Rattus norvegicus: one gene and its partners. The protein of the gene in region 6 interacts with the protein of the main gene of each other region in a biochemical or structural test. Links are inferred from orthologs where the notes say so. Each region holds a gene or a part of one and is shown on either strand. Other genes may lie near its edges.

Region 1 (2,815 bases), on a different chromosome or scaffold from region 6:
TTTGACCACATGAGCCTACAAGGGGCATTCTCATTCAAACCACCATACAGACAAAATTAGTTTGACTTCTTATATGGTAGAGCTTGTCTTGATACGTTGAGGGCACACAAAAAAATTGAGCAGATATATTACTAGTCTCAGTTTAATATGTTAATGTTAAGATAGGTATACCTGGAGCAGATACAGTCTATGAAGTTCTGCATGTTTGTGTTTCTGAAGGCCATACCAAGTAGAGCATGCCTAAGCACTTAAAGAACATAGTGTGATGAATCCAGTTTTAAAAACAATAGCAGGTAAAGGAACGTTGTGATATGAAATAGTACTTGAGACTAGCAGTAGTTCTATAGCTCACAGAAGGAAACAGGGATTTCAAGCCAAAGAAGATAGGAATGAGGAGGTTCATGCCAAGGAACTTGACCTTATTAGGTATGAAATTGTAAGCCACAGAAGAATGGTACAGCAATTTCTTGACCCAGTCCCACGTGAGTGTTATCTAGACTATTTGCTTTAGTGTGGGAGCTGGATCTGAGGAGACGGGAAAGGCAGCAAATGAGGGAACTGAATCACTTTAACTCCATAAAGCCATGAAGCTTAGGCAGGTAGAAGGGGAAGGAAGAAATGTTTTCTCCAAGTTAAACCTAAGAGACTTGTTTGGTACTAGAAAGGGAGGCAGAGTCCTTTAAGTGGATGTTGAGCAGGGCAGTTGAGGATTTCTGGATCTAGGCTTGAGTGACTAGATGGACACATGGAGTGCCCTAGAGATAGGGCCAGGCATGATGCCTTAAATCCTAGCACCCCAGAGGCAGAGGCAGAGGCAGACTTAGCTCTAGAGTTTGAGACCGGCCCCATCTAGAGTGAGTTCCAAGATACCCAGGGCTACACAAACTGTCTCTCAAAAACCCCAAAAGGATAGGAAGTACAGGAAACAGGCTAGAAGGACTGGGGTCAGCTTTGGATGTAGTGAATTCAGGTATCTTTGATATACAAGCCTCACACCCAAGAGACCAAGGCTTGAGAATCAAGACTGAATTTAACTGAGATTAAAGAGCACACCATAGTTGAAGAGAGGAAAAGAATACTGGACTGGGTTAAGATTTTAAAATCCAGTCCATTATGGCTGAAAAGCAATGGCACTGGAAACCCATGTGAATCACTAGTGCACATACCTCTCTGGGGCAATGTAAACAAAATCCAGAGAATGTGGAGGCACAATTTACCCAAGAGGGCAGAGTAGGATTGTTCAAAAACAGTAAGAGCACAAAGGAAAGTGGTCCCTGCTTGAGGGAATGCATTTGTTACAAGAGCTGTGGTACCTAGGGTCTTCAGCAGCCTTCACTCTGGGTGGGAATGTACAAAATCCAAGTAGTTTAAAGTACAACCTAAATATTAGCCTTACAAGGTTTATACTGTGGTAGAACCAGGATGGCCAAGATATAAAGGTACTTACTTCCTTGAGGCCTTTAACTGGCAAATCTAACTGTTCATTTAACCATGTTTTTGCACCATGAATAATCAACGGCAACTTTGATAAAGGTGAAATAAATTATCTCTGTGGGCTAAGAAGACAGGTGGTGTGACACGCTGTGAACACGTTTTACCACAGACAACTGTGTAAATGGGACAGTAACATTGGATTATATTCTTGCTTTTTTATTTTTTTAAGAACGTTGCTGAGGAAAGTACAAGAGTGCTGTATTCCTTATATGGAGTTGTGGAACACAGTGGCACTATGAGGTCAGGGCATTACACTGCCTACGCAAAGGAAAGAACTGCAAGCTGTCATCTCTCTAATCTTGTTCTTCATGGTGACATTCCGCAAGGTAAATTATCTTACATAATCCAGACATTTTGCATATTATGCCAAAGCCTTCCCCACCCCCCAAAGAAACCTGACTCTTTCCTTTTGTTTTGTTTCCTGGCAGATTGTGAAATGGAGTCAACCAAAGGGCAGTGGTTTCACATCAGCGACACACACGTGCAAGCGGTGCCTATAACTAAAGTACTGAACTCACAAGCTTATCTCCTATTTTATGAGAGAATACTGTGATGACAAGAAGTGTTTTCTCTGGAAATACGCCTATGGCTTTTATACTGGCTATTATAACAATAAAAAGTTAAACTATAAATTATGTTCACCTAAGTAAATGACAGAAAAAAATCATGTTTATTTAAATACAGACAAAATTAACTTACAGCAGTTTTTGTATTAGCATACTGGTTTTTACTCTTTCTAGTTTCAACTTTAGGAAAGATTTGAATAACTAAACTGACTGGGTGGTAGTTCTTGACACATCAATAAAGTGATATTCCCAAAACGTGCTTTATTAAATTTTTAAGTTATTACTGTAACCCTACTGGCAGCATCATGTTTCACTACTGTAGTGCTGGAAGCGATGTGAAGTCCTGGTGTCAGTGTGACTCTAGACATTATGCTGCAAAACCTTGTGAAAAGTCAGCCAGTGATTATTGAAAAGCTTATGAACTTTGGCATGGTGACAAACCAATTTATAAGCCACTGTATCAGGTTACTGGAGCTTAAATCCAGACTGGGATTGGAAAAATAACTTTGGAAATGAGAAACGATTTCTAGCCTCTTAGGTCTCTGTTACAACTATTCAAACTGTCTGTCCCTTGTAGAATGCAACTGCCAACATAGATACATGGTATGGTCATAGCAGTTTGCTTTTAGAAGCAGTCCAGATCTATAATGAGAACAGTCATGTGAGTAACTTGACATTGACACAAGCAGTAGTTAATCAGATGGCCAGAACAGTAACACGTTTATTGTACCACCCAGCAGAGAACAAACACAAAT
Region 2 (2,728 bases), on a different chromosome or scaffold from region 6:
CAAACATGGGTGTGGTGTCACTCAAACCCCGTCAGTGTCTTTGGGGCAGGGTGGTGTGGGCCTATAATCCTTTCACACAGGAGCTGTAGCCAGAGGATTATGATTTGAGCTATATAGCAAGTTCCATGCTGGTCTACACTACATGGTAAGACTGTTTCAAAAATAAAGTCAATCAGAGTCACTTCAAGCTTTGTCTTGTGAGTATTTTGCCTGTTAAGTGTGCATGTCTGTGTGCTGGTGCTGTGGAGACCAGAAGAAGGCCACAGTTCCCCTTGGAAGTGGAGCTACATGACAGTAGGTCCTCTGATGTGAAGCCTCTTTTCTTAGCCACTGACTCATCTCTTCAACCCTGCAAATTAAGTTCTTTATCCTAAGGGTTAGGTAAAAGAAAAGGTGTATTTTTTTTTAAAGATTTAATTTGTTTTATGTATATGAGTACACTGTTGCTGTCTTCAGACACACCAGAAGAGGGCATCAGATCCAATTACAGATGGTTGTTGAGCCACCATGTGGTTACTGGGAATTGAACTCAGGACCTCTGGAAGAACAGTCAGAGCTCTTAACCACTGAGCCATCCCTACAGCCTGAAAGGGTGTATTTTTGCTAATCTCTCATTAGTGTTTCTTTTATTGTTGAATGTAGACACACACACACACACACACACACACACACACACACACACACACCCAGTTACTAGTAATAGTACTTGTGACTCTGTCATTGAGAGAAAACACAGGTATTATCTAGGAATGGTAGCATACTCAGGGCTTGGGAGAGCCTGAGAAACAAAATGGGGCTGGAAGTGTAAATCAGTAATACATACAGTCTGTACATAGAGGTCCAGCTTTGATCCTGAGCACCAAGGGAAGAAGAAGGGAGAGGAAGGGAAACATATTTACTACAAATTTCTCTCTTCTTTAATATACAGATGATTTTATTTGCTACTGTATCTTATTTATCAATAAAAACCTTTTATGGGTTAAGAAATTAAACAAAAGGGGCTGGTGAGATAGTTCAGCAGTTAAGAGTAGTGGTTGTTCTTCCAGAGGTCCAGAGTTCAATTCCCAGCAACCACATGGTGGCTCACAACCATTTGTAATGGGTTCCGATGCCCTCTTCTGGCCTGTGGATGTATATGCATCAGAGTGCTCATACTTTAAATAATTTTTTTTTAAAAAGAAAAGAAATTAAACAAACAAAACAACAACAACAACAAGCCAGGATCTCACATAGCCTAGACTGGCTTTTAACTTGGGTCTGTAGCCAAGGAGGGCCTTGAACTACTGACCTTTTCACTTTCACTTTCTGGGTGCTGGAGTTCTGGGTGTATACCAACATGTCTGGTTTTATGTGGTGCTAGGGTTTGAATCCAGGATTTCTTACATTGTAGGCAAGGATTTTTGCAATTGAGCTACATCACCAACTCTTCTTACACACTTACTTTTGGGTTTAGTTAGTTTGTTTTTGAGGCAGGGTCTTAATCAGTTGTCAGGGAACTCATTATGTAGAACAGATTGGTCTTGAAATCACAGAGATTCACCTGTCGGCCTCCCAAATGCTGTAGTTAAAGGCATGCCCCACCACTCCCAGCTCACACGTTTGTTTTTAAATAATAACCTTGTTACCATTCCCCTCGTCAGGACATGTATTGCAGGGTTTTTTCTGGATATCAGAAGTAGAGCACTAACCTAGCTTGTGGCAAGGGTCCTAGTGTGATACCCATCAACACTTGAAACAACAAAGCTTGAAGCACAGTGCCACATGCCTGTAGTCCTGTCCTTGGAAGGCTAGGGTCTCAGGATCTCTTACCCAAGAGAGTCAGGTCAGTTTGATAAGTTACCAGATCCTATCTCAAAAAGTCGGTTCCTCTGAAGAGGTTTTTGTAGACACTTCATTAAAATACCAAAGAAGGGCTAGAGAGATGGCTTGGTTTTTAAAATCACTCACTGCTCTTCCAGAAGACCTAGTGTGGTTTCCAGCATTTATATCAACTGTCACTCCAGCTCCAGGGACTCTGGGGACATTTGCACTTGTGTTCATACATCTCCCCTGCCGCACACTCTTGTACACATAGTTAAAAATAAAATCTTTAAAATGTCGGAGAAGGGGCTGGAGAGATGGCTCAGCGGTTAAGAGCACTGCTGCTCTTCCAGAGGTCCTGAGTTCAATTCCCAGCAACCACATGGTGGCTCACAGACATCTGTAATGAGATCTGATGCCCTCTTCTGGTGCATCTGAAGAGAGTGACAGTGTACTCACATCCATAAATCTAAAAAAGAAAGAGAAGAAAAGGTAGGGCGACAATGGTGATGAGAATCCCTGATTAGTAATATGTGATTGTGTCCAGTGACCATTCATATAAGATACTGGTGTAGCTGGCTTATATGTCTTCCCTTTATATACTCAGGAATTTTGTTTTCTACAGGAAACAGACAGTAGTGACACGAAGAGCCCTGTGTTGCAAGACACAGACGTTGAAGAAAGCATGCCAACACATTCTCCTCAGACCTGCCCAGAAACTCAAGGGCAAGGTCCGGAGCCTTTGACAGAGATGCCTGTGCCATGGCTATGTGCAAGGAATGCTGAACAGTGCCTTGAGGGAAAAGCTGAAGCAGTGTCAACCAATCCTGATGATTCATGTATTGTAAATGATGGTGGACCTAGAGCCATAGTTTCTAACTCTAAGGAAGCTGCAGTTAAGCCTCCTACCAAGATAGAAAACGAAGAG
Region 3 (3,501 bases), on a different chromosome or scaffold from region 6:
GCAAATGTACGTGTGGGTATAATATAACATATAGAAAGGAGCACAAGAAAGGCTAGATAGATATAAGGGGAATGAAGACAGAATGAGTGCAGGTGATGTATATGAAAAATGAAAGAGGATATAAAATTAACTGCTTTTCTAGTCAAACAAAACTAAAACACCAAAACTCTGTCAAGGATTCTTCATTTTTGGTGGTAGATACTTGCATAAAAGTATGTTCAAGAGTGAAAGTATGGAATCCAGTGTGGAGCTCCACAGGTTCAGAATGGCTGTTCTAGCTGTAGAAATTCACTGAGATGTATAGACTTTGGGTCTGGTTAATTGGGTCTAACTTACAGACTTTGGTGTATGATGTTATTTACTTGTCCGTTTTTTAAATTAAGTTTATAAGATTTTTTTTTTTAAGCAAGTGAAGGTATGATATCTGTTAACATGTGCTTAGTTTAAAAACATTTTATCTAATTTTTTTGTATAAAGTGATTAAACCTCAAATCTAGTTTAATAATATGTGTGTGTGTTATTTTGGTTCTTAATAAGGTAAAGTGGGGTGCGGAGAAAGAAACACCAACTTTGAAGAGCAACAGTGATCTTCAGGTTAAAAATAAAGATGAAAGGACAAAGGTGTGGGTCGCATCAGATCCCAACCTTAATGCTGTAAAAATAGAGAAGTTGTCTGATGATGAAGATGTAGACATCACCGATGAGCTGGATGAGTTGACTTCTCAAACATCACAAAAGAATTATGGCGGCCATCTTACTTTAGATGTTCCTAGTAGTAAAATGTATAAGACCAACCAAGGAGAATTATGCCAAGAAGGTTCATTAGCTAAATCTGCAGAAGAAAATCTTCAGAATGTGAAGCAAAGTGAAGCAGAAGCATGTTCAAGCTCAGAAATTATGTCATGGGCTGAAAAACAAAATAATAATGGCAAAAACTCAGTTGAATTAAATGAGAAATACAGTAAACTGGTTGAGGAATACACTATGCTAACAGAGGAAACCAAGCACTCACCTTCTCCAGAGCCCTGTGAGGGTCAGAAGGACCCACGTGGAAATGAACTGCTTTTGCCTCCTTGCCAAGTGGAGGAGGAAAACCATGAAGGAGAAGAGCTTAAGCCACCGGAACAAGAAGTAGAAATAGATAGAAATGTCATTCAAGAAGAAGAAAAGCAAGCAATTCCTGAGTTTTTTGAGGGGCGTCAAACTAAAACACCAGAACGCTATTTGAAAATTAGAAACTACATTTTGGATCAGTGGTAAGAATTACATTGTACATGTTCTAAAAACTTGGTACTCTAAAGCATATAGATTAGGACCATGCAGAATTGTGGATTTGCTAGAGACTCAAAGAGCTTCTGCATGTCTTCCTTCAGTAGTCATGATTTAAAGTTTCTCATAGTGAACCTCTTAAAAACTTTGATAAGCATGGGCATCCATTGCTATCACAACATGTCATCCCACTGTAGAAGAGAAGCCTGGCTAGAAGGGAGTGGCCATATTTTTTAGGGGGCAGCAGTTTCTTGGGGCAGTGTTGGGAAGCTATAACTATAGAACATATTGGCCTGGGAAAGGAGAGAATTTCCAGTTTCACATGTATTTGAGAATAAAAAAGGACAAACTCAGAGACAGGAAATATTGTTAAACATGATTATAGTACAGAAATTGTCATCTGAATAGCTCTTCAGTGCTTGCAACTTTGAATGTGGAATGAACACAATTACTTAGGAAACCAAAAGACTACCCTCCTTATTAGCCTAGATACACTGAGAGTAACTAAGGCTCCTTCAAGCATCCATAGATGCTCTTAGTGTTTTAGAAAGCTTTCCAGATCTTTGGATGTGGATTCTGTGTTGTCCTTTGTTTTCTCCTCTATCAAAGGTTTCTCTGTCCTGTTTCAGTGGCTTTCTGCTAGAACCTAAAATGCTACCTAAGATTAACATGTACATTGTTAAATAATTCATTGCACTTAGATAACATTAATTTACTTGGCTTTTAAAGACAGCCATGTTCTCACAAAATGTTTGCTCTGGCTTTGTGTCATGGTGATTTTGCACCAACACGACCACTGAAGAACCATCTTCTGGCTAAGAATGTCATTAGAGTAAGAAATACTTAAGAGAAACAACTGCCATTTGCCTAGAGCTTTGTGGTTTACAGAAGGCTGCCCTGAATCATCTCATTTGAGTCTTCACAACAGGCCTGTGAAATAGGCAATGGGATCTCAGATCTTAGGGTACCTGCCTTTGATCTTTCAACCAGACACTGACCCAAGAAAGGTGTCAGTCCAACTCACTCATTCTATTACTCTACATTACCTAGTTGACAGCTTTTAAATGTGGATTAAATTAGATCTCTCTTCATACCTGGGTTTGGTTTTGGAAATAAAATGATGGATAGCCAAAATCAAAGACTTTCAAAACAATTTCTACCTCAGAAATGTCACAACTTGTGTATATTTAATGTTATTTTAGACAAAGTTTGTCACACTGAATTTTGGATTTTAAATTAGCAGGATAAATTACAGAGATGGTGTCGATTATATGGCAGTAGTTTCCTAAGTCCTTTTATTTAATACACAAAGCCTATTTGATATTGCTGTTTAAGTATGAGATATTTATTGGAAAAGTATAAAAGCAAAAGAAATGTTTTTAAAGAAAAAGTATAAAGTATAGAACAATATAGATGGTACTTTTTTTTAAAAAGAGAAGATAAAGTTTTAAAAACAAAGAGACATACAGATCTTTCTTTTCCATGAGAACAGGTACAATTGGTTTTACTTAGGGGTATGTTTTTATTAAAGTGTTAGTCAACTGTTAATAACATTATTTTACCTTATTCTACCACATACCATGTGTTTGTTATATTTAAACCGTCTTCAGTTCTCTTGTGAAGGTGACTTCAGCTTCCGGGTTGATTCAGTATTTAAAGAGCTGTAACTCTGGCCTTAACCTTCTCTTCCTTCAGAGCTTCTGGTACTGGCTCTTTGACTCTTTGGTTCTGCTCAAGGAAAGTGATGTGTGTGGTGATGCTCTTCCCTATTCTGGCATCCTTTGTTTGTTTTTGTCATACAACTTAATACCACTGAAAATGCTGCCATTTTGTGAATCGTCTCCTACCGTAGTCCTGTAAGAATACAGGCAATGTGAAGGCAGTTCTGTTTGTTCTGTTAATCAAGTACCCCCTGCTTAAGACAGTGCTTAGATGACAGAAGGCATTTTAGTTGTTGGAGAAGATTTAGAGTCTTTGGTGAACAGAAATATTTACTATCTAAGCCACGCGTAAGCCTGTTGATTAGAGAAGACAGATGCAGATGAAACCACTTTCCAGGCTCCTGCCATTCTTTAGTAGCTGTGCGCTTTCCTATATTTTTGTCATGCTTGCATAGTTCGCTTTCCTTTCATCAAACATGGAAGTCTCAGCTTTTCTGAGGAAGTTACAATATTCTCCTCTATCACACTTATTTTCACCTTCTGTAGACCTTGTAGATTTATGGATTTGATT
Region 4 (3,501 bases), on a different chromosome or scaffold from region 6:
CTCGGGGATAGACGGGAACAGAAGCAAACATTGGAGGGTTGGAGCCCAAGAGGACTTCTTTCCAGCCAAGCCTCGGGATCACAGGATAAGTATTTATTCTTCTGTCCTCAAAGACAGCTACTAACTACACACTCAGGCCCCTGCCCCCGGAGTGCTCTTTATCTCTTGTCCTGTGAAATTATAGTTTCTTTTTTTTTTTTGTTCTTTTTTTTTTTTTTTTTTTTTTTTGTTCTTTTTTTTTTTCGGAGCTGGGGACCGAACCCAGGGCCTTGCGCTTCCTAGGTAAGCGCTCTACCACTGAGCTAAATCCCCAGCCCCTGAAATTATAGTTTCGAGGGAAAGTTTTTATCACTCAGGTTGTGACCCACCCTGGCTGTTTGGGAAAAGGAACAAAAATCACATAGGGAGCAGACACGGAGAAGGTGGGGTTTTAGTTCACCCGGGCTGCTGCAGCTCAAGTACGATAAACCAGGTAGCTGGTGAGCCCCAGAATGTATCTTTCAAAGCTCTGCAGGCTGGGAGTCCTGAAGGTACTGGCAGATGTGGATGGAGTCTGGCAAGGACATGATTTTGGTTCATAGATGATATTTCCCACTATGTCTTCACGGGGGAAGAGAAGAACCAGTTCATGCAGCCTTTGTTCTAGGCTGCTAGTCCTGTCTGCCCACCCTCCTAGCACCTCAGGACTTCATCCTGACGCTGTCACACTGCTGGTGAGCTGTGAGGAGGCGGCTCTTGGGCAAGGGCGACCCACAGGGAGAGTTTCATTCTTGCACAGGTGCCGAGACTGCCGTGCTCGGCTAACCTTGCTCCCGGCCTGTCCCGCATTCTGGTGGTTTCCCGTGACAGGCGGTCTTGTGTCTTTGCAGGAAGAAAAGGACAAGGTCCAAGCACAGAAGGAGGAAGTTCTCAGCCACATGAACGACGTGCTGGAGAACGAGCTCCAGTGCATCATCTGCTCAGAGTACTTCATCGAGTTAAGTACGAGCGGTGGCTCACCCACGTCCCCCCACCCCCACCCCCACCCCCACCCACCGCAGTGCACCAGCCTCTAGCACGGGGGTGGGGTGGGGGGGGTCATTCTGAAGAGACGAGAGAGCTGCTACTTATTACTACGTCATGCAGTCTTCACTGTGCTGTTTCCTTCTTAGACGTTGACTTGCATTAGGGTTTGAAGTACTGGAACGGACCTGCCCACTGCTGCTCCCTTACCCCGGACGCACTGTGCTACCCCGGACGGGCACTGTGCTGCCCCGGACGGGCACTGTGCTACCCCGGACGGGCACTGTGCTGCGTGTGAACTTGTAGTTTGGCCTTGGAGCAGGGTAGTGAATGCCATTGATGGTGGTCACTGTGGGCATCGGGCGCCAGAATGAATATATTTCATGGCTTTGAGGGTCCTTTTGAAAAGCAAACACCTGTCTCCTATTGTTACTTTGCCATATTATTATACCAGCTGTTTTTTGTTTTTGTTTTTGGTTCTTTTTTTCGGAGCTGGGGACTGAACCCAGGGCCTTGAGCTTGCTAGGCAAGCGCTCTACCACTGAGCTAAATCCCCAACCATAAATTTCCTACCATTTGTAACCAGTTCATCTTATGCTAAGAGTGTTCCGCTTTTGCAGTTGAATAGCGGGAGGGTTTGTTTGTTTACCTTCGGGAAGTCAGATGCGCGTTGGGTGTGTCAGCCTCCTGAGGGAAGGCCAGCTGACTGGAGTCACTCTGGCTATAGGTCTTTGTTTCCTGCTTAGTCTCTGGTCTGTGGAGAGATTTAGCGTTGCTCTTAGGGGAGGCGGGACAGGGAGACGGAAGCAGGTGGCGAGCCTCCCGACCCAGGGCAGAGCGCCTTTGTGAGGTGGGGTGCGGTGAGCTTCCCTGGGGGCCTTCATGCTCTGTTGTGCTTTGAGAAAGTCAGAATGTCCCTTTCACATTGCAGGCTGTCACCCTGAACTGTGCCCACAGTTTCTGCTCCTTCTGCATCAGTGAGTGGATGAAGCGGAAAGTGGAGTGTCCCATCTGTCGGAAGGACATTGAGTCCAGAACCAACTCGCTGGTTCTGGACAACTGCATCAGTAAGATGGTGGAACGCCTGAGCTCAGACGTGAAGGAGAGGAGAAGCGTCCTCATTAGGGAACGAAGAGGTGAGGAGCTTTGACAACGCCTGCTCCCTAACAGGGATGTTTGTATTTAACTACCTCAGGTATTCTTACGGGGCGAGGTTGGAGATTGGAGTTTAGTGAATAGTTGTTGAATGAAGTACAGGCAGGGGAAATGGGAGTATACGGAGTTCAGATAGCCCGCTTAGGAAGAAGGGAATTGGGGTTGGGGATTTAGCTCAGTGGCAGAGCGCTTGCCTAGGAAGCGCAAGGCCCTGGGTTCGGTCCCCAGCTCCGAAAAAAAGAAGAAGGGGAAGAAAAAAAAAAGGAAGAATGGAGGGCAGTGGGAAGCTGGGACCAGAACAGTCGTCGGTTTGCTGTCTGCACACCAGGTGGTGCTGCTGCTGAAGGCAGCTAGCGATGGCAGGCGGTGTGCCCGGGACGTTCGCCTAGGGAAGCAAATGCATTCATTGGCTGCTCTGTAAGGGACTGCTCTGTAAGGTACTTGACTAATATCAGTCCCTAGCACTATTCCCTCACACACACACACACACACACACACACACACACACACACCACACACACTTTCTCTCTCTCTCTCTCTCTCTCTCTCTCTCTCTCCCCCCCTCTCCCCTCCCTCTCCCCCTCCCCCTCTCCCTCTCCCCCTCCCCCCTTTCTCCCCCCATCAGGGAACTTGAGGTAAAGACATTGGGGAAGGGATGGCGAGAGTCGCTGATCTTTAAGTCAGTGGTTCTCAGCATCCCTAATGCTGCAACCCTTTAAAATAGTCCCTCTTGTTGTGGTGACCTCCAGCCGTAAAATTATTTTGTTACTACTTCATAACCATCTCTATGTTTGCTACTGTTATGAATCGCAATGTAAATGTGTTTCTGATGGTCTTTGAGGGTGGTGACCCACGGGCTGAGGGCCACTGGTTTAAGTGGTGATGTCACGCGTGGGGCTTGCTGTGTTCAGGGCTGCAGAAAGCCGCCCCTTCATGCTGCAGCAGAAGACTCAGCACAAAACAAGGAAGCTGCTGGGTTGGCAGGGCTGGCATAGAGAGCCACTGCACAAAAGACAGGGTGCCCGTGGCTGTCCCGCTCTGCCCCTGCCTTCTGGGAATTGGTAATTAACTCAGCTGCTGTCCATGATGCCGGCACGTGCCACAGGGTAGTGGCCTGGTTGTACTCCTGAGCTGAGAGATGCTGTCCCGTTCGTGGCTTTCTTGCCTCCCAGCCCTCCTACAGGTATCGGCTTTTCCACAGGGCCGGGTCTGTTGCTGATTCATACGCAGCCGCAATGTGAAGCGGGGCAGGCAGCAGGCTCACACAGGACCGGGTGGTGTGGGCGCGGAGCAGGCAGTGTGCTTAGCCAGTTCCTGTCCAGGAGTGTGATCTGACCCTTGAAA
Region 5 (4,136 bases), on a different chromosome or scaffold from region 6:
ATGTATATAGGAAGGAGTGGAGCAGTAGATTCTCATGCTCTTTTCCCTTCTAGAGCTAAAGAATTCCGCATCTACTCCACCGTTCGGGTCCCTAGAACTAACATCAGTGCTAGAAGCTGAGATTGGGAATTCCAGGAGCTTGCGGGGCGGTGTGTGTGTGTGTGTGTGTGTGTGTGTGTGTGTGTGTGTGTGAAGGCTACTGAACCTGCTGAGAATCACCCCACACACACACACACACAGAGCACTTCCGGTCCGTTTGGCCCCTCTTTGCTATTGTACAAAGCTTGTACTAAGTTACCTCAGACTCGAGATATAACTCCCACCCATGTCTGCATGATCTCTCCCCCGATCTGAATCATTTTGGTAGGTTTCTTTGACAACCAGCAGCCCATTGATATGCCCTAAAAATCACACCCACTCGTTTCTTGAGAAATACAATTGTTCCCCACCGCAGGCAAAATCACAGATTCCAATTCTAAGACTCCATAGATGGAGTCTTTAAGGCTTGGACAATCTATTCCACTCTCATTTCTGTATAGACTTTAAGTATGGAAATCCCATACAGGCTATAATTGATCCAAATGCCCTTAATCCCATCTGATTTGCACGGACCATAGTATTCAAAGCTGTTCATTACAAGGCTTTGCCACACTTTCAGTACCTGTCCCACGTGCCAGAGTTGCTAAGCCACTTGAAACAGAATTAAGTCCAGATTTTTTTGTTCCGTTTTAAAGACTCAGAACGCCAAGTGGCTTCTTCCACAATGTCTCCTTATGCAAAGTCCCAGTACTTGGGACCAAAAGAATAATGTATGACTAGAGGTGTCAACTCCTTAAACTCAAGGACCTGCTTTGTGAGACCTGAAACCAAGAGCCAGGCTAGGCCGTCACGTGACTTGTTCTGATGGCGTCACAGGCACACGTGGTTCTAGATACTTCGCTCCCTCCCCCTCAGGGGTGGATTGTTGACAACGCCGCTAGCGGTCACGTGACCTGACGTCATCCCACCTCCTCTCCCCGAAATCTCAGGCTCCGGATGCACCTCTCTCCCCGTCCGGCCGAACTTGAAACTAGCGACGGGGGGAGCGAGGCAAGGTAGCGTGTGGGCTCCGGCGCGGTCGGGCCGGCCCGTGTCCAGCCTGGGCACGGAGAGGACCTTCCATAGTTCCTCACAGCCAAGAAGCCCCGAAGACGGCCTCCTGCGCCTCCAGGGTCGCGCGCGCGCCCGCTCGCCCCGCCCCCTCTCCCCTCCTCCCAGCGGTGGTACTGGCGGAGGGCGGAGGGATCTGGAGGCGGCGGAGGGAGACGTCATTGCAGGGTTGTTTGTGCAGTCTCGGTGGCGGCGGCGACCCACAGTGATTCGGCCGCTGCGCCGGGGGGTGGGGGGGCCGAACGGGACTCTTTTCTTTCAGACTGACCGCGGGGCAGCTGCGGAGCATGTCGACCCCGGCCCGTAGGAGGCTCATGCGGGATTTCAAGCGGTAAGGGCCCTCGTCTTAGCCCAATATGACGGCCTCTTCCCGAAGCTATGGACTGTAGGGCGGGGATCCGGGATATCCTCCCCCGGTGACCCTGAGGAGGGGGGCAGTGGGCCTGCGGGACCCACGGCAGCCCCGGCTCACCGGCGACTCTTACTCCCTCGCTTCATACCTCCCTCTGTTTGAGTAAAGATGTTCGGTATTATAGCCACCTGCCCTCCCCCCCCCCCCAAAAGTAGGAAGGTAGCCATCGCTGGGCCTAGGTGTCCCAGAGGCCCACCTAGGCCAAATGCAGACGCTTCACCTCCCGCCTCTGCACCCTGCGGTGTCCCCTCCGCAGGTGGTGCTAGGGAGCTTTTCCTGAGGTTCTGGCCTCGCCTGGAGGACCAGTCCAGCTTTGTTACAGGGCCCCGTGGTCTCCTATTTGTAGCGGGGTTGGGGTGAATACTGTCCCAAATCTCTTTCCCTTTCTGCAGTGGTGAGGGTGGGGTCTGCTGCGCGAGGTCCGGAGGTGGTTAGCCCATCCCCCGAAACCCGATCTGCCCCCGCCCACCTGGAAGGACCTTGAGAACTGGCTCGGGAAACCTGGACCTGGAGCTAGCCACTCCGCTGCCAGTGCCTTCTGGAACTAAGATCTGGCTGCCGAATAAAGGCCTATCTATAGCCTCCCCGGCCTGGGAAATGCCTTCCGTCACACTGGAGCTAATCTGATACTCCACCTGGGCCTCCTTTTGGAAAATAGGAGTTTATAGGAAATAAGGGGCTTGAAGGAAGAAAATGACCTCTCCTTCCTCTTCCAGTTGTTTACCTCTCCTTGGAAACGTACAAGTGCAGCAACCGTAACTTGAAATCCAGCGACAAGATACTCCTCTAAGTTTTCTTTCTGGGCAGACCCGCTGTGATTGAGACAGATCTGTACTATAAAAACTTAGATTTGCCTCTCAGGAAGCAACTGCTCGACTTTGCCTTTATAAAGCCCTGTCTGGGGCATTTGGAGGTCTTGGGCCTTGGACAGCTTCATTTAATTCGTTGCTGATTTTAGCCACTTAAAATTGAGGAATCAGGCAGTAAGTTCGTTCCTCTCAGCCCTGTTAGTGGCATAATCTGCTTGAGGTTTTTTGTTTGTTTGTTTGTTTGTTTGTTTTTTAATGTGGACTGATCGCTAAGTGTCCACTTAAAAATCATGACATACTTTGTATGGTGGAAGGCTTTTTTTTTTTTTTTTTTATGATCTGACAGATGAGATGCCCTTGTTGGTGCAAAAGGCTTGAAGTCACTATATTTGATTGGCTCTGTAGCATGCAAATAAACCTTGCCATTATGGCTAATACATCATCCATTATTATCTCTTGTTCATTTTTGCAATTTCTGTACCCGATTGAGTACAAGGTGCCTTTGGTGGTTTTCCAAGGATCTTGAGGTTACATGAAATTGATGATGACGTCTGTTGAAAGTGCTGTATGAAACTTTGTATGAAGGCCTAAGGTAGAGTTGGCCTGAGAGCAGTGTCTTTAAAAGAGAGACTGCTGGAAAGCTAGCTGGAGCTTCTGGCTACTTGAGAAAGCCACTGTCTGAAGCACAGACCATAAAGTGTGGTTCGCTTTCTAGTTAAACTGAATATGCTTTTCAGTTATTTAGTGTATGGAGATTTCCTACGATTTTGTGTTAGGACTGGAGATCCTTGCATGATGAAGGTAGAAAAACTGTAGGCTTTTGTGTGGTTTGGTTTTGGTTTTTGGTGTTTGGTTTTGGTTTTTTGAGACAGGGTTTTTCTGTGTAGCCCTGACTGTTTTGGAATTCATTCTGTAGACCAGGCTGCCTCCAAAGTGCTGGGTCTAAAGGCATGCACACCACTACCACCTGGTAGTTGCAGATTCTCTAAAATATTTTTCATTGCTAAAATTGTAAACTTGTAATGGGTCAAGAGGGCAGTCTGGAAACAAGAGTTCTTCAAGAGATCATATCTTAAATCTTGCTGTGTGAAGAAGGATGACCACCTAGTCCTTTGGGCTTAGAGATCACTGGTAGTATTAGTAAGTATATTAACCTGGTTGATTCTTTTAAGTCATAGCTCATTTCAGCTCCAACAATAAGTCAGTCTAGTCAGTCTCTCAGAATAGGTTCAGTAGAATTTGACCTCACTGACCTTTATGTTCAACTCTGAAAATGACTACTCTGGATTTCTAGATTGCAAGAGGACCCACCTGTGGGGGTCAGTGGTGCACCATCTGAAAACAACATCATGCAGTGGAACGCAGTTATATTTGGGTGAGTTGAAATAGCGACTGCTTAGGAAAAGTAAGTATATAAGCACCAAGGAAAGAGGCTGAGGTGGATCCGAAGCTCACTTGTTGGGGTAGGGGGCACTTTTTTGAGAACCATAGGCCTCCTGTGCTTATTGTGCTCCTATCACTAAGCTGTATACCCAGCTCCTGAAACATTTTATTGAGTCTGGGACATTTATATAAAATTGGTCTGCTCCTTGCTGTTAAGTTTAATTTGGTTTCTTTCCCTTGAGACAAGGTGTTACAGTGTTGATCGGGGTGATTTTGAACTGGGCTGCAGTGATCCTCTTGCTTTAGGCCCTCAGGAGTAGCTGGGATTGTGGGAGTTTGATACTGTACCTAGCTATGGTATGGTTTTACGGTCACTCCAGGTA
Region 6 (2,399 bases):
AAGAAAAAAATGCTAATTACTGAGTGTGTGGATTAGAAAGATGGCTTCACGGGCCCAGAGAGAAAAGGAACAGTATCCTTGTGGTAACCTGGCATTGCAGCGGTTAACGCAAAGTATTAAATGGGAAGAAAAAAACCCAACCAACCGACCAAACAAACAAACAAGAACCTAAACAGAACAAAACAAGACACGAACAGGGATTCTAAAGTCTGATAGAGAACTACAACAGATTTCTAACGAATCTGCAGCAACGCGAAGCACTCGTGTTTATACATCAGTAAGTCAGAGGGACACCGCCCTAAGCAGCCCTAACCGCTGGTGCCCAGGACACAGCTACTAAAGTCAGAGCAGTTTCAGTTTTAGATGGCTGGTACCCAGCATTCATCAACACAGACTTAGCTGATTAGAAGGCTCTAATCGACAAGGTAAGGAAACCACCTCACTTTAGGTCAAGCAAAAGGCACCGGGACACAACAGACTAGAACACGGAAGCCGGGCCCAGAGACCCACCTCAGTTATCCTAGTCTAAAACGAACTCCAAGAAACTAAGTAGGGTGCAGCTAACTGCAAACCTGATAACCCACAGGGAAACTCAAAACCACAAAGGCTTAATGTCTTGAGTGTACCTTTTCCAAGACCCTTAAAGTAACTTTGGAATAGGAACTAGAAAACTAATGCGAGTGGACAAAGCTCTCTCCTGATTTGAGCGAGTGACTGCAAGAGACTTTAAAGCCCAAAAGGGCCCGGAGCGCTTCATCCAGGAGACCTCTACTTGGCGCTTGTGTACTTGGTGACCGCCTTGGTGCCCTCCGACACAGCGTGCTTAGCCAGTTCTCCGGGCAGTAGGAGACGCACCGCCGTCTGGATCTCCCGCGATGTGATTGTAGACCGCTTGTTGTAATGCGCCAGGCGAGAAGCCTCGTTTGCGATGCGCTCGAAGATGTCATTGACAAACGAGTTCATGATGCCCATGGCCTTGGACGAGATGCCCGTGTCCGGATGCACCTGCTTCAGCACCTTGTACACATAGATGGAGTAGCTCTCCTTGCGACTGCGCTTGCGCTTCTTGCCGTCTTTCTTTTGCCCCTTGGTGACAGCCTTCTTTGAGCCCTTCTTGGGAGCCGGAGCGGATTTGGCCAGTTCAGGCATGATTGAAAGCAAATAGTGGAAAACAGTCTAGTAAGCAGAAAAACAATCAGGGCCCCCGAGGACCTGAGCTCTTTATAAACATGTTATGCAAATTAGGTCTCAAAGTACTTTTAATTTCCATTGGCCCATACGCGAAACTTGCGTTTTCAGTACAAGTCTAAAATTTCAGATTTCATTGGACTTCTCTGGGGCCAAATAACGACCAATGAAAAGCTCCCTCCTGACCCCACCCCTAGGAACGCCTATAAAGGTCTTAGAGCCAACCAACCTAGCTTCATCAGAGTTGTCACTTCAGCTAGTCTTACTCTACATCTTAGTTATGTCTGGCCGCGGCAAGCAAGGAGGCAAGGCCCGCGCCAAGGCCAAGTCGCGGTCGTCCCGCGCCGGGCTGCAGTTCCCAGTGGGTCGCGTGCACCGGCTGCTGCGCAAGGGCAACTACGCGGAGCGCGTGGGCGCCGGCGCGCCGGTATACATGGCAGCGGTGCTGGAGTACCTGACCGCCGAGATCCTGGAGCTGGCGGGCAACGCGGCCCGCGACAACAAGAAGACCCGCATCATCCCGCGCCACCTGCAGCTGGCCATCCGCAACGACGAAGAACTCAACAAGCTGCTGGGCAAAGTGACGATCGCGCAGGGCGGCGTCCTGCCCAACATCCAGGCCGTGCTGCTGCCCAAGAAGACTGAGAGCCACAAGGCTAAGAGCAAGTGAAACTCACTAATCCAAAAAAGGCTCTTTTTAGAGCCACCAAATCTTCATAAAAGGAGCTAACGCGCTAGTTTGTGACCAGCCCTTTGGTTGACACTTTGGTGGCTCTTAAAAGAGCCTTTTTGTGTGGGAAAGGATACTTAAGTTATTTGTTCTTTCCAGGCTTATGACTATCCGTTTTCTTCGGTAGTAAGACAGCCTGGATATTGGGGAGGACCCCACCCTGGGCAATGGTGACTCCTCCTAGTAACTTGTTGAGCTCTTCATCGTTCCTTACAGCTAGCTGTAGGTGGCGCGGGATGATGCGGGTCTTCTTGTTGTCGCGGGCCGCGTTGCCCGCCAGCTCCAGGATCTCGGCGGTCAGGTACTCCAGCACCGCCGCCATGTACACCGGCGCGCCGGCGCCCACGCGCTCCGCGTAGTTGCCCTTGCGCAGCAGCCGGTGCACGCGACCCACTGGGAACTGCAGCCCGGCGCGGGACGACCGCGACTTGGCCTTGGCGCGGGCCTTGCCTCCTTGCTTGCCGCGGCCGGACATGGCGGA
Region 7 (3,501 bases), on a different chromosome or scaffold from region 6:
TAGCTACCCGAGAGGAGCCAACAAACTGATAGACCTTCCGGAGGACTACAGCAGCCTCATCAACCAAGCTTCCAATTTCTCGTAAGTTACTTCCTTAGCGCCCTCCCCAGATCCTTCTGCAGGCAGGCGGAGGGAGGGTTTGTGCTGCTCTTTGTTTTCACTGGGGGAGAAAGATCAGCAGTCCTTTCCATGACATGATGGGGACAGTGTCACTGCCATGGGAAGATTTACTTATTTACCCATATTGAGTGCACTGTCTCTGTCTCAGACACCAGAAGAGGGCATCTGGTCCCATTACAGATGGTTGTGAGCCACCATGTGGGTGCTGGGAATTGAACTCAGGACCTCAGGGAAAGCAGTCAGTGCTCTTAACCACTGAGCCATCTCTCCAGCCCTAAGTTTGTGATTCCTAATGAGTTTTTAAGCACTTCGTGCTCAGGCAGCATAGAGGATGCTCATCATAAATCAAGCATTGTTGTGAGACTGAAGCTCCGGGTATCTCCTGCGTCTCCCTCCTTTCCCGTAGACACAGCATTCTGGGTTCTGTGCTAAGTCTCTGCCCTAATTTACTCTCCTGATGTGATAAAGCACTGACCAGAGCAACATGGGGAGGAGAAAGTGTTAACCTGGTCACAGGTTGCAGTCTGTCACTGACAGAGGTCAGAGCAGGGACTCAGAATAGGAACCTGGAGGCAGGAACTGAGGCAGAGGCCACACGCTGCTTACTGGTTTGCTCAGTCTGCTCCCTTATGCATACAGCCCAGACGTGCCATCCTGACCGATGCAATCTGTCATTTGAAGTTTCTTCTCTCCCCTTCCCTGTGTCTGAGTGACAGCAGTTGTCCATTTAAGTGGCTGTCTGTGTCTGCAGTACTTGGCACTGCATCTGAGATCTGGGCGTGACTGCGGACATCACTCTTCCTGCCCCGGAGTCTTTCCTGTTGTTCACATGGTACTCGTGTGTGCCTGTCCCCCCGATGTTGCTCCCTTGGGTGTTTCTGGTACGTGGTTTTAGTGTGTGTCCCAGTGTCCTGTCACAGGATAGTTAGCACTGACAGATTATCTTCCAGGGTGCTCTGTACCTGTTCCTCCGTAGCACTGCTGGCTATCGTGTCTCTGTCTTACAGGTGCCCCAAATCAGGTGGTGACAAGAGCAGAGCCCCTACCCTGTGCCTCGTATGTGGGAGTCTCCTCTGCTCTCAGAGTTACTGCTGCCAAGCCGAGCTGGAGGGCGAGGATGTCGGGGCCTGCACAGCACACACCTACTCCTGCGGCTCTGGGGCCGGCATCTTCCTGAGGTAGGGCCTCGGCCGTGCTGGTCACCTGAACGCCACAGGCACTTTGAAGCCACTGTGCCACTGTGTGCAGACCATGAAGGGCCGTGGCTCTCACATCGCCCGTATGGCCGCTGACAGCTCAGTTCCCCTGTGTCTCCTTAAATATGAGCACCCTGTCCCCAGTTCCCTCCCCCTATCAGGTAACGATCTCCCTGTCAGGACTCGCTGCTCTTGCAGAAGACCCGCGTGTGGGTCCGCATGGCAGCTCACAACTGCTCAGGGTCTGCTGTCTCTGTGGACTCCCACACCTACACATACACCTCCTGAGTCTGTAAACCAGCATAGCTTCCCTCTGCTTTGCCAGTGCTGTTGGCTTTTCCTGCAGTCACAGGCTGTCAGTGGGAACTGTACTCAGACAGGAAGGACTTAGTAACTGTTGTGCAGTTTTCAAAACGCGTAATTTTCTCATAATTTGGGGGAAGATTAATAGCATTTTGATTACAAGTTAGCTGTCTTTCCCACACTTACCTGTTTTAAATTCTACTCTTGGAGCCCTGGGTTCTCGACACAAAGTCACTGTATGCGTTCATAGCACATCACTACCAGGTACACTCCAGCATCGGGGTTCCACTGAAGACTTGTGTAAAACTGTTTCTGACTTTCCTGGAGTAACTGTTCCCCCAGAGGCTTACTGCTAACCTAGGCCTAGTCCTAAGAGCGTCTACCCTCCACAATCTAACCTAGGTCTACACTGTGTTCAGCCTCAGAGACCTACTGCTGAATAAGCTCACCCCTTCCCAGTTACTTCTGAGGTCTGGCTGGCTGCTCAGCTCAGCTGTTCTGACTCAATCAAACTCCTCCACCCTGACTGATTCAGTCTGGCTTCTCTCGGCTTCTGAATTGCTCTGCTTGATCTCACACTACCTTTTGGCGATCTGTTCTAATCTCTGGCTCCTTCTCCTTCTCTGGCTTGTTCTGTCTTCACCTCTGTCTGGCTCATTCTCTTTTCATCCTATCTCTGTGAAACTCTCGGGAAAACTGCCTCCTCCCTCACTTCCCTCTGCCTCTTTTTTTTTTTTTTTTTTTTCCGGAGCTGGGGACCGAACCCAAGGCCTTGTGCTTGCTAGGCAAGCGCTCTACCACTGAGCTAAATCCCCAACGCCCCCTCTGCCTCTTAAGTAGCTTCCCTTTCCTTCATCTCCCTGAGAGAACTAGATCTATCCTATTCTGTCAAATCTTTCTGATTCATCACCTTTCTGCTCATCACATTCAAACATGGGTGTTTCCTTCTGCAAACTCTGGGATTAAAGGTGTGTGCTAAGGGCATGTCTATTCAGCTACGGGAATTAAAGGTGTGTGCTAAAATTGAGCTGCACCACAACTAGAAACAGTTTTTCTCAGTAAGTAACACAATCATGGTGTTCACGGTGTGATTGGATATCCTGCACCACACCAGACTTGGGCAGGTACCTTGCTGCTCTCCGGTGTCTGCTGTAGTTACTCCGGTCTCCTGACCCGGGGTGCTCATGCATTTTTTTCCCTACGTAAGCCCTTTCTCTTCGAGTTGAATTAATGTAACACCCTGTTACTTACATAAATGCACAATGATGACTGCTCTCTCCACAGAGTACGGGAATGTCAGGTGCTATTTTTAGCTGGCAAAACCAAAGGCTGTTTTTATTCTCCTCCTTACCTTGATGACTACGGGGAGACTGACCAGGGACTCAGGTAAGGACCCAGCCTGGGGTTAGGAAGACTGACCCTAAGCCAAAGAACCCTTCCTTCATGGTGAGCATGATGAGCCGGGAGGGCCAGCTGGGCCGGTACCCAGGCGTAGCTTCTGTTGAAGGTGGCTTGCTGCCGGTGGACTCTGGTTTTCAAGGAGGCACCTGGCTCCTTTTTTTTCTACCTTGGAGAAGCCAGGAGTGGGTGGGGAGAAGGCTGCAGTGGTAACACTCGTGCCATGCAGGCATGAGGACTGAGGACACCAGGACATGTGCGAAAGGCTGAGTGTGGTGCTGCACCCTTGTGACCCCAGTCTGAGGAGGTAGAGATGGCAGGAGAGGGAGGTGTTCCTCAGCCTCACCGTCAGTGAGCTCAGACAAAGAGCAAGAAACCCTCTCTCAGGAAACACACTGGCAAGTAACTAAGGAGGAAGACACCTGAGGGTGACTTCTGACTTCTCCCTGTGTTACACACAGGTTATGACCACTCACATGTCAAC

The links.
Region 1: of the proteins of H2ac20 (region 6) and Usp16, one has a biochemical effect on the other in vitro, tested with the Homo sapiens proteins (2 studies listed by BioGRID). The link is inferred for Rattus norvegicus from reciprocal best matches to the Homo sapiens genes H2AC20 and USP16.
Region 2: of the proteins of H2ac20 (region 6) and Rnf168, one has a biochemical effect on the other in vitro, tested with the Homo sapiens proteins (4 studies listed by BioGRID, with this or other methods). The link is inferred for Rattus norvegicus from reciprocal best matches to the Homo sapiens genes H2AC20 and RNF168.
Region 3: of the proteins of H2ac20 (region 6) and Mysm1, one has a biochemical effect on the other in vitro, tested with the Homo sapiens proteins (2 studies listed by BioGRID). The link is inferred for Rattus norvegicus from reciprocal best matches to the Homo sapiens genes H2AC20 and MYSM1.
Region 4: of the proteins of H2ac20 (region 6) and Rnf8, one has a biochemical effect on the other in vitro, tested with the Homo sapiens proteins (2 studies listed by BioGRID). The link is inferred for Rattus norvegicus from reciprocal best matches to the Homo sapiens genes H2AC20 and RNF8.
Region 5: of the proteins of H2ac20 (region 6) and Ube2b, one has a biochemical effect on the other in vitro, tested with the Homo sapiens proteins (2 studies listed by BioGRID, with this or other methods). The link is inferred for Rattus norvegicus from reciprocal best matches to the Homo sapiens genes H2AC20 and UBE2B.
Region 7: the proteins of H2ac20 (region 6) and Ubr2 form a complex in vitro, tested with the Homo sapiens proteins (2 studies listed by BioGRID, with this or other methods). The link is inferred for Rattus norvegicus from reciprocal best matches to the Homo sapiens genes H2AC20 and UBR2.

Annotation. Positions count from the first base shown.
Region 1 is NC_086029.1:40,194,478-40,197,292, forward strand, and holds the end of Usp16 (ubiquitin carboxyl-terminal hydrolase 16), read left to right. Parts: intron 1-1,663; coding exon 1,664-1,820; coding exon of another isoform or gene 1,821-1,922; coding exon 1,923-2,047; 3' UTR 2,048-2,315; downstream 2,316-2,815. UniProt on the Homo sapiens protein: Specifically deubiquitinates 'Lys-120' of histone H2A (H2AK119Ub), a specific tag for epigenetic transcriptional repression, thereby acting as a coactivator.
Region 2 is NC_086029.1:81,993,580-81,996,307, reverse strand, and holds part of Rnf168 (E3 ubiquitin-protein ligase RNF168), read left to right. Parts: intron 1-2,425; coding exon 2,426-2,728. UniProt on the Homo sapiens protein: E3 ubiquitin-protein ligase required for accumulation of repair proteins to sites of DNA damage. Acts with UBE2N/UBC13 to amplify the RNF8-dependent histone ubiquitination.
Region 3 is NC_086023.1:114,918,963-114,922,463, reverse strand, and holds part of Mysm1 (deubiquitinase MYSM1), read left to right. Parts: intron 1-537; coding exon 538-1,256; intron 1,257-3,501. UniProt on the Homo sapiens protein: Metalloprotease with deubiquitinase activity that plays important regulator roles in hematopoietic stem cell function, blood cell production and immune response.
Region 4 is NC_086038.1:7,700,965-7,704,465, forward strand, and holds part of Rnf8 (E3 ubiquitin-protein ligase RNF8), read left to right. Parts: intron 1-869; coding exon 870-977; intron 978-1,931; coding exon of another isoform or gene 1,932-1,933; coding exon 1,934-2,138; intron 2,139-3,501. UniProt on the Homo sapiens protein: E3 ubiquitin-protein ligase that plays a key role in DNA damage signaling via 2 distinct roles: by mediating the 'Lys-63'-linked ubiquitination of histones H2A and H2AX and promoting the recruitment of DNA repair proteins at double-strand breaks (DSBs) sites, and by catalyzing 'Lys-48'-linked ubiquitination to remove target proteins from DNA damage sites.
Region 5 is NC_086028.1:36,761,143-36,765,278, reverse strand, and holds the start of Ube2b (ubiquitin-conjugating enzyme E2 B), read left to right. Parts: upstream 1-1,335; 5' UTR 1,336-1,411; coding exon of another isoform or gene 1,412-1,436; coding exon 1,437-1,480; exon of another isoform or gene 1,481-3,664; coding exon 3,665-3,745; exon of another isoform or gene 3,746-4,136. UniProt on the Homo sapiens protein: E2 ubiquitin-conjugating enzyme that accepts ubiquitin from the ubiquitin-activating enzyme E1 and transfers it to a E3 ubiquitin-protein ligase. In vitro catalyzes 'Lys-11'-, as well as 'Lys-48'- and 'Lys-63'-linked polyubiquitination.
Region 6 is NC_086020.1:186,468,248-186,470,646, reverse strand, and holds H2ac20 (H2A clustered histone 20), read left to right. Parts: upstream 1-1,420; 5' UTR 1,421-1,468; coding exon 1,469-1,858; 3' UTR 1,859-1,899; downstream 1,900-2,399. Other genes in the region: Hist2h2be (histone cluster 2 H2B family member E), read right to left, coding at 769-1,149; H2ac21 (H2A clustered histone 21), read right to left, coding at 2,001-2,393. UniProt on the Homo sapiens protein: Core component of nucleosome. Nucleosomes wrap and compact DNA into chromatin, limiting DNA accessibility to the cellular machineries which require DNA as a template.
Region 7 is NC_086027.1:21,553,117-21,556,617, forward strand, and holds part of Ubr2 (E3 ubiquitin-protein ligase UBR2), read left to right. Parts: intron 1-3; coding exon 4-81; intron 82-1,127; coding exon 1,128-1,298; intron 1,299-2,903; coding exon 2,904-3,005; intron 3,006-3,501. UniProt on the Homo sapiens protein: E3 ubiquitin-protein ligase which is a component of the N-end rule pathway.